2 linked regions of the Nothobranchius furzeri genome follow. The protein of the gene in region 2 purifies or fractionates together with the protein of the main gene of each other region. This does not show direct contact. Links are inferred from orthologs where the notes say so. Each region holds a gene or a part of one and is shown on either strand. Other genes may lie near its edges. The genes, in order: zmynd19 and mkln1.

Region 1 (4,319 bases), on a different chromosome or scaffold from region 2:
GTATATTTTATTGCATTTTCAGTTAACTGTACATCTTTCACACATTATTATGTTGTATACTGAAAGTACATTCTGTATAAAATCTTAATGGAACAACAGAACAACAGAACAATTTAACAATTTTGGTTGTGCTTCTGGCGATACTCTTCACCATCTATTTTATATCATTGGGAAGGAAATAGATGTAGGACACAATTTTCACGTTTAGCCTACACGTTAAACTCAGAATGACCTATGTTTTTCAAAAACAATAAGTCAAAAATGCTTTCTCTGTGAAGGACCTCTTTAAAGGTGACTAATCAGGATAAATGATTTATACAGATTCATGTATTTCCATGTACAATGAAATTCTTCGCTGCTTGCAATGGATGCCAAAAGTATATGTCAGAAAGGGTTATAGTTTTGGCACTTCTACAAGATCCATTTGTAAAGTTACCCCACTCTTATTTTGGTGGTCCAGTTTGTGACATCACTTCCTCTAGATAGTCCCACTCTATCACAGTATAATTTAGGTTTTTAAACAAATAAGATAAAAAAGAAGCAACAAATCAATCAAAACTATTAACTCTACCAAAGTTACAGCACCATTATTCATGTGCAAGTGAAATAAGTGTCCATAGAGGGAGTGGATGGGGTCTTTGAAGATGGAGGTGACTGTCCTGTTGACTCAGTGGTTATTGGTGGTGGTGATGCTGCTCCCGTACCAAACCTTATCACACAGAGATGCAACAGATCTAATTGACTCAATGATGCAGCTGTAGAAGATGCTGAGGATTCTGAGTGACAAACTTCCTCAGCCCCCTAGGAAGTACAGTAGCTGTGTGGAGCCTTCTTTAATGACTGTGTGGTGTTCAATGCACAGGTGAGGTCCTCACTGATGTGGACCCCCAGGTATTTAAAGTCAAGAAGCATTGTTACAAAAAAACAAATAATCAGCCAAACACAACCCATTTTGCTTTTATATGACAACATTTATAACAATGTTTATTCTTTATAAGTTCATGTTTAATTTTAAATGAAAGCTTTTAGAAAACGGAGATTCCTCCCCTTCAGTGGCACAGAGCCGCCAAAGATTTCGCGCGAAAATGATTGGAAGTGATCACGAGAGAGCATTGACGTCTAAGTTAAAATAGGCAGTCTTAAACGTTTGTGTAATTCTATTGGGCGCAAGGACAGGGCATCGCAGACTAAAACGTGTTTCGATTGGTTGGTTGGAATAGTGGCTCATTCCTTCGATAACCCCGCCTCTCACCACAGCTCGCCCAGCTTTCGTGCTCCAGCGGCCGTGTGTCACCGAGGCTGGGCTGCGGCCGGAGAGACCTGGAGGTAGGGCAGTCACTACACTGAACCCAGAAGTTGCATCGCATCGGGGCAGACGGGCTGCCCTGGCGAGTTCTACACCCCGAAAACCGCCAAGGTTGGATTCTACGCCTCGTTGTGTCAACACCACCCGTCCTCCTGATGTCGGATTTCAAGCTCGGGATTGTTCGGCTCGGCCGTGTGGCCGGGAAGGTGAGCTGGATCCCAGTGCTGCCATGTGCGGCCCGTGGGGAATGCGGAAACCTCAAGTAAATACACTGTTAACGGCAATTTATCGATGCCAGTCAGCTGCCGTAATGATAATGGTGCCGTTGAGGGCGCGGGAGTGGGCTAGTTGTACCGTTTCAGAGTCGTTTGAGCGGATTAGAAAAGCCGGCCGCGTCGAGCCAGAGCCAGTCTGCTCTTCTCTACTCCACCGCTATCACTGTCTTCCTTCAAGCTAACACTAGCTAGCATGTCCGTTAGCTGGTTTACTTCCAGTAACAAAACGTCTACCTGAAACGTGAACACAAACTATTTGTGCTTTTGTTGCTGCTGACACTGTCGTGGCTCGTGGCTGGTTGGGGGTGTGGTGTGACAAGGAGAACTGACATTTTATCTTGTAGCGGATAGGTTAGCATCACCAGATTAGCCGTTAGCCATGGCATCTGGATTAGACAGGAGCTGACAACTAATGAGGGAATCGGTGCCTTGCTTCATCAACGCTAGCCCGTGGTAACATAACACCGGCATAGCAATGCTGCGCTCCACACCTCGGGGCTAAAGTATTGTGATTTATTCCGTTCAAATAACGTAATTGCCTCAGATACACGTGACTTTAAATCGGGGCAGGATGCTGGTGTTGACACCCCTGGCTGCTGCTGCTGTCACTGCTGTCACAAGACACGCAGGATAAACTGCTGTCACCAGTCTTGCATCTCATCCGGCTGAGTGACAGTTTTCCTCTGGTTGAAACGTTTTTATATTTAGTTTTAAAACAGATAATTACGCCTTGTTTCATGCCGTTATTAAACCTCTGGTAGGTTGAAACAGGATAAAACTAGTCATTATTGTGGGTAAGTGTATTATAACTTTTACACACTTGGTCAGTTCAGGATTTGACCTGCAACAAAGGGATTGCAGGTCAAATACATATGCGTCTGAGTGGTGTCATCCTCTGTTTATCTTGCAAACATCAGGTGTGTTGCAAATTTTGAACTGGCACAGATCACTTGATTTAAATCTTTTATAGAGGATGAGCTTGAACCATCAACTGGTAGTGAGTGGAAGTTCTGAAAAGCCCTTTCTAAAAATTTCAACTTGTGGTTTTACTAATAGACGAGCTTAAAAATTGGGTATTTGCTGGCGGCATATTGGATAGTGTTTTTTCATTAAAATCCATTCAAAGTATGTTATGATCACAGCTGTAGATTTTATTGTGAAACTCAAATCATGTCTTCAATTTTTCTCCATTTCAGACAAAATACACTCTGATTGATGAGCAGGACATACCACTTGTGGAAAACTATGCCTTTGAGGTAAACTATCAGAATGTTTTGTACCCCGTTTCCCATTTTTATCGCTAACCACAGCCAAGAAGTTTAAAACGGCTACATTTTCCCTCTATTTTTAGGCACGCATGGAGGTAGATGCAGATGGCAATGGTGCTAAGATCTTTGCTTATGCTTTTGACATCGGAAAAGGCCGCTGGGCAGGAAGACCTCTGCATGAGCTACTCTGGTAAGTCTTTTGTTTTCTACAAAAACAAGATGTTCTCTGTGAGCAAAAATGAATAGTTAACATTATCTTCTATATTTAAGTCTTTATTCCTTGACTTGTAGTAGGAAAAGCCTTGAACCTGAACCAGATTGATAAGAACTTCTGAAAAGAGAAACTGATTCTGTGTACGCCAGGAAAAAATACATCATAAATGCTAAAAAAGCAAACATCAACATTTAAATGGATCCTATACAATGGAAAGTTTTAGCTTGAATCTCCCATACCTAATGAGGACAAATCAACCATCTATATTTCCTTTACAAGAATCTTAAAGGTCATTGGTGTTTAGGCTATTTTGCAGCAAATATTAAAACCATCCTTGTTATCCATTAAGTGCATCTGTAGACTTCAAAAACCAGAAATTTCCCCTGGAGGGTAGGGTTAGCTGTATGTTTAAATAAATCCTCAGTAACTCTGAATGAACCAGTTCTTGATTTCTTTGCTTTTAACCAGGGAGAAGCACAGGGGAGGCATTGCCCCTAGTTTTCAAGTGATTCACATCAACTCCGTAACCGTCGACAACCGGTTAGACAACCTTCGACTGGTGCCGGTGGGCTGGAGCCCCAAGCCGGAGGAGATTTCCAGCAAGCAAAGGTGAGACCACTTATGAATTCTGCTGAAAGGCATGGGGGCAAAAATACTAAACATTCCTGAGAGGACTTCGGTAGCTGACGTTGAGTCACTACCATGACTCACATGTTGAGAACCATACTGATTCTAGCAGTATGGTGGACAATAACTGATGTCTTCTGTGTTTTTGTTTTCCTCCTAGAGAGCAGTCTCTGTACTGGCTGGCCATCCAGCAGGTCCCAGCCGACCCGGTGGAGGAGCAGTACCTAGAGCTAAGCCGCACGCGCTACTACAATGCTAACGGGGAGCTAGTGGAGGAAGAGGAGTGCTCCTGCACTTATTACGAGTGTCATTACCCCCCTTGTTCACTAATTGAGAGGAGGGTGTGTACTGAAAGTTCCGATGTTGATTAAAAAAAAACTTTACTCATTCATTTAGCAGGAACATCAAACCTTAATGATCTCGTCTTTCCACAGCTACGAGAGTTTAACATCTGTGGTCGCTGCCAGGTGGCGCGCTACTGTGGCTCCCAGTGCCAGCAGAGGGACTGGCCTGCCCATAAGAAGCAGTGCCGCGAACGCAAACGGGTACTTGCCCTTGAGTCGGAACCCGAACGATGATCAGCCCTCTGGACCTGGACAGCAGGAGGGCGGATTGGGGGGGGAAGGGTT
Region 2 (4,277 bases):
TATGTTGTTTTCATAACATGTCCTGATAATTGTACAGCACATTGAATTGCCTCTGTGTTTGAAATGTGCTCTATAAATAAAGCTGCCTTGCCTTATATTCGAACATCTGATTGGCTAGCAGCAACATGACTACCACTGACTCAGTTTGCTCTGCAACTTGGATGTTTTATCTGGAGCTTAGAGTTAGTTGCTAATGCTAATGGTTAGCTTCTACTAGCAAAGATGTCCTCTGCTGTTTCCTGGACGCTAAACCAACAACAGCCCTCGTTGTTGTGAGTCAAGATGGGTGAGTAAATGAATGTTAAGTAACAGTGTGACGTAGATCTGTCAGGATTTTCTAATCAGAAGCTAACGTAGGAGATAGGTGCAGGAGACTGTTTTCATGTTCAGCCTGCATGAAAAACTCAAGAGTGACTGATAATAATCACAAATAATCATAAAAAATGTTTTCAGTGTTCCATACCTTTAAACTTGTTACCACCAAGAAAATACTCAATTTTACCAATTTCATGTGTTCGTTGCAATCAAGCAGTAATATATCTCCTTTTAGAAATCCCTAAAAATCACAGCTCTGTTTATTATCACAACTCTTAGTTGTCTCTTATTATCACAACTCTTAGACTTCTTATGCATCATTAATAATATTACTAATAATAATGTTATATTATATAATAATAATGTTATATTACAAAAAATGACATTGTGCTGTTTACAAAGAAAGAGGTTACATTTTTATGAATTTCTTCATTTCAACATAAAGTTGCAGTTTATTATTCCTGGTAGATTAAAGTATATTTTTATAACCATAACATCTACTTAGTTAATGAGGAATAAACATTATTTATTCCTCTGTAACTTTAAGTTTACTAGTTAACACAATGGTCACTTTAATGAGCATCACATCTGTTTATTGGGAGTGAGAATTTCACTAGAACTCTGTTATAAACAACTAAATATATCCCATAAAAGAAGAGAGTGATAGTCTCTGTTCACTTCCTGCTTTAATTTACATTATTTTTCAAAGCAAAAGGAACATTTTCAGCATATCTAAAAAAATAGACCACATTGTCTTTTTCATAAACACAGGTGAGAATGGTTTTGGAGACCAAACCAAACATAAAATCTAAGAATTGGCTTTGGACATTCCAGACCATTCACTGAAATTTTACAGACCAAGAAATGTAAATTAGAAACTGAGTCAAATAATTGAGAAATTTATAATACATTTTTTTTATCACGCTATAGAATTTCCTCATTTTATCCCCCTTATCTGTGGTCAAAAATGACCTATAATGACCAAACTAGTCATACAGTATTCATTCACACAGTGAAGTCAAGCAAACTGACCTGAGGAGGGTAGTTACTCTCAGAAGACCATCTGGAAGACTGATCATTAGGTTTATCCACCAAGATATTCCTAAATAAATAAAACAGAAGTGCACAATGTGAATAAACAGGTTGATTTTGCTGCTTCATTCAATAAGTCCTCATTTAAAGGCAAACATTTCAGCTTCCACATCTCAGTCTGCTGCTCGTCACTACAAATCAGAGATCTGAAATAAGTCAGGAGTCCAGAAAACAAAGCCAGATGTTTACACATTGAAAGGGAGTCAAACATAAAATACATCACTTTCAATAATTTACATGGTCTCAGAAATTTCTATTGTGCTGTAACTATCAAAAGGTTTCTTTTGGCGAGATTAAAGTGGAAACTGCAGTCATACAGCTAAAAGTGAATAAAATGATAAAGGTGGAGAAAGCTGGAGGACTGCAGGGTGTAGCGGGCTACAAGGGGGGCTTTTGAAATCATGAATGGATATTCTACACATGGCAAATTCCTGTTAGACTGCTGTTACAGCTTTATTGTGATGAACACTTTTTAAAGTATTAGCAAAATAATTAGTGTTGTTGAATTCTATTCGTTTATTAAATTATGAATCTCTGGCAAAAATTAGCTGGATGTAATGGATGTAGTCAATCTCCAGTGAAATTTCGAATATCTGCTGTTTTATTGTGGTGCAGCTTTCTGAGCAGCATCTGGGTTGAGATTTTTTAAACTTCGTTCTCATGTTTAATACATTTTGACAGGTTTTCGCACCATTTTGTTGTTTTTGGCTGACAATTTGGCTGTTTGATAAATGTTAATGATGACAAGAACATTTTAAAACGGCGAATTTGGATTCCTAATATTTTAATCAGGCATCAACCCAGGCACCTACTCACTGAGACATCTGATGATTTTATCGCCAGTTGATCTGATACACCAGCGGTGAACAGGCTCATTAGCATAGATGCTACAGTCTAGCTATCGTACTAGCATCTAGAGTTATCCATAAAACCTCCGGTTGTGTTCAAATTGAGGTTTTAATTTTATATGCTACAGCAACCGGAAAGCAGACTGTTATTTTAAACAATCAAACACAAACATGCAATGGATTAAAAACAGATAACTTTTAAATAATCTAACTTTGCCCTGCTTTGTTTACGTTACGAGTCCACCACATCACACGACTTTAGCTCATTAAAGAACAAATACAGATCCACAAGAAATAGTTAAGACGTTGTCCTGTTAGTTAAATAATCTTTCAGTAGCTACTGTATCACAGTTGCAATCGATTAGTCGCATTTCCGAACCAAATCATGTCCCTGGCGTTGCGTTAGCTGGCTCGCATCGAGGATCGGTTAGGCCAGTCTAGCCGGCTGGACAACACATCGATGTACGAAGGCGATAGAAGGTCACCTGTAGCCGCCGACGGTAATGCAAACATTAGGGGGACTAACGTGCACGGTACTCACTCGGGTAAATATGTGGAGGAGTATGAACTCCATTTAAAAACGCTGAAAGTGAGGATTCTACTCTCAGGAGCGACGGCCATCTTGTTGGAAAACAGCAGGTAGTGTGAAGCTAGCTGCAAAGCCGAGAGCTGAACTCTCTTAAAGAGACAGTACACCTGTTTCACTCTGCATGGAGTCATCATGCATCCTTCACCAGCAGCTTATAACACAGCCAAGGGGCCAGATTTTCTGTGCATACACTCTTACATCTAAATAATGCGGCTTCAGGCTAAACATTAAAGGTGCACAGTTTAGAGATTGAAGAAGGTAAGAAAAAAACATAATACATTTTCAGGATAGTCAGTAAGCCTTTTATTTGTTTGTCAATGTTTATGATTAGAACATTTCACAAATCCATGTTATTGTTATTTACCAAGCTGTAGACTGTATGGTTTCCCGTCTAAAACAACTCTTTTGTTTCTAAAAGCACTATTCAGGGGGATCTCAGTGTTTTATTACATGTTGAGTCAGTTTTACAAATGTCAGAGTGTGTGAATCATCCAGCGATTAAATGAACAAACCTTTATTCCTGTCATCCCAGATGTGATGTTGTTTAGGCATTTATTTAATGCCTCCTGCATGTAAATTGTGTTTTTTTTTTGTTATATTATCCATTCAATTCAATTTTATTTATATAGCGCCAAATCATGACAAGTCATCTCAAGGCACTTCACATAGTAAACATTCCAATCCATTCTTTCCCTTTTATTGATGCAGCTAATTTATTATAAATAGGATTTATATGGCCTGTGTCAAGTGACTTGGCAGTTTCCATCCTGCCCTGATAATCTTACTTTGTTTTGATGAAGAAAACATAACATAGTCTACAGCCATGCAAGCATGACTGATGAACTACAGAGCTGAGCTGATCACACACTGGAGCATTTTCAGCAGCTTTGCACTCGAATGCTAGGCGATGGGTAACCTGGTGATTAATTGTTAGATTTCTTTTCATTCCTTTGATCGTCCCTGATCTTTTCCTTATTTAAAAAAAAGGCTGTACAAAGTTTGATGAGAACATGCCGTTTCATTGATTCATATTGTGTCTCCCTTCCTCTCTGGTCCTTCAGTCATTGCCGTTTTCTCTCTGTGCATATCAGCCTCTATCATTTAAATCAGATGTGGAAACCAGAACAGAGAGGCTCCATCTGGATGCAGATTATCTTCCGTACAGATCTGGATTACATGTAAAATGTCATAGTCTCCATTTACCAGTCCTAAAATTTGTTTAGAGATGCTGATGCTGCACACATTGGTACTGGGATGACAATAAATGTTGCATATATTACAACATCATGCACTGCTTTCAAAGACACGTAAATTCTGGATTTTTCTTTTTTGATGTCCAAGGTTGGGTTGGGTTGCTGGGGTAACCGGTCCAGGAAGAAACCGCTCCTCAGAGACACTCTGCAGCTCCTGGCGAAATTCAAGGCATTCTTAGA

Evidence for each region.
Region 1: the proteins of mkln1 (region 2) and zmynd19 purify together in Homo sapiens (affinity purification with mass spectrometry; 3 studies listed by BioGRID and IntAct, with this or other methods). This does not show direct contact. The link is inferred for Nothobranchius furzeri from reciprocal best matches to the Homo sapiens genes MKLN1 and ZMYND19.

What each region holds. Positions count from the first base shown.
Region 1 is NC_091746.1:54,509,791-54,514,109, reverse strand, and holds the start of zmynd19 (zinc finger MYND domain-containing protein 19), read left to right. Parts: upstream 1-1,280; 5' UTR 1,281-1,461; coding exon 1,462-1,512; intron 1,513-2,777; coding exon 2,778-2,837; intron 2,838-2,932; coding exon 2,933-3,039; intron 3,040-3,531; coding exon 3,532-3,672; intron 3,673-3,850; coding exon 3,851-4,031; intron 4,032-4,124; coding exon 4,125-4,268; 3' UTR 4,269-4,319. UniProt on the Homo sapiens protein: May be involved as a regulatory molecule in GPR24/MCH-R1 signaling.
Region 2 is NC_091741.1:63,274,180-63,278,456, forward strand, and holds the start of mkln1 (muskelin), read right to left. Parts: upstream 2,939-4,277; 5' UTR 2,877-2,938; coding exon 2,797-2,876; intron 1,418-2,796; coding exon 1,348-1,417; intron 1-1,347. UniProt on the Homo sapiens protein: Component of the CTLH E3 ubiquitin-protein ligase complex that selectively accepts ubiquitin from UBE2H and mediates ubiquitination and subsequent proteasomal degradation of the transcription factor HBP1.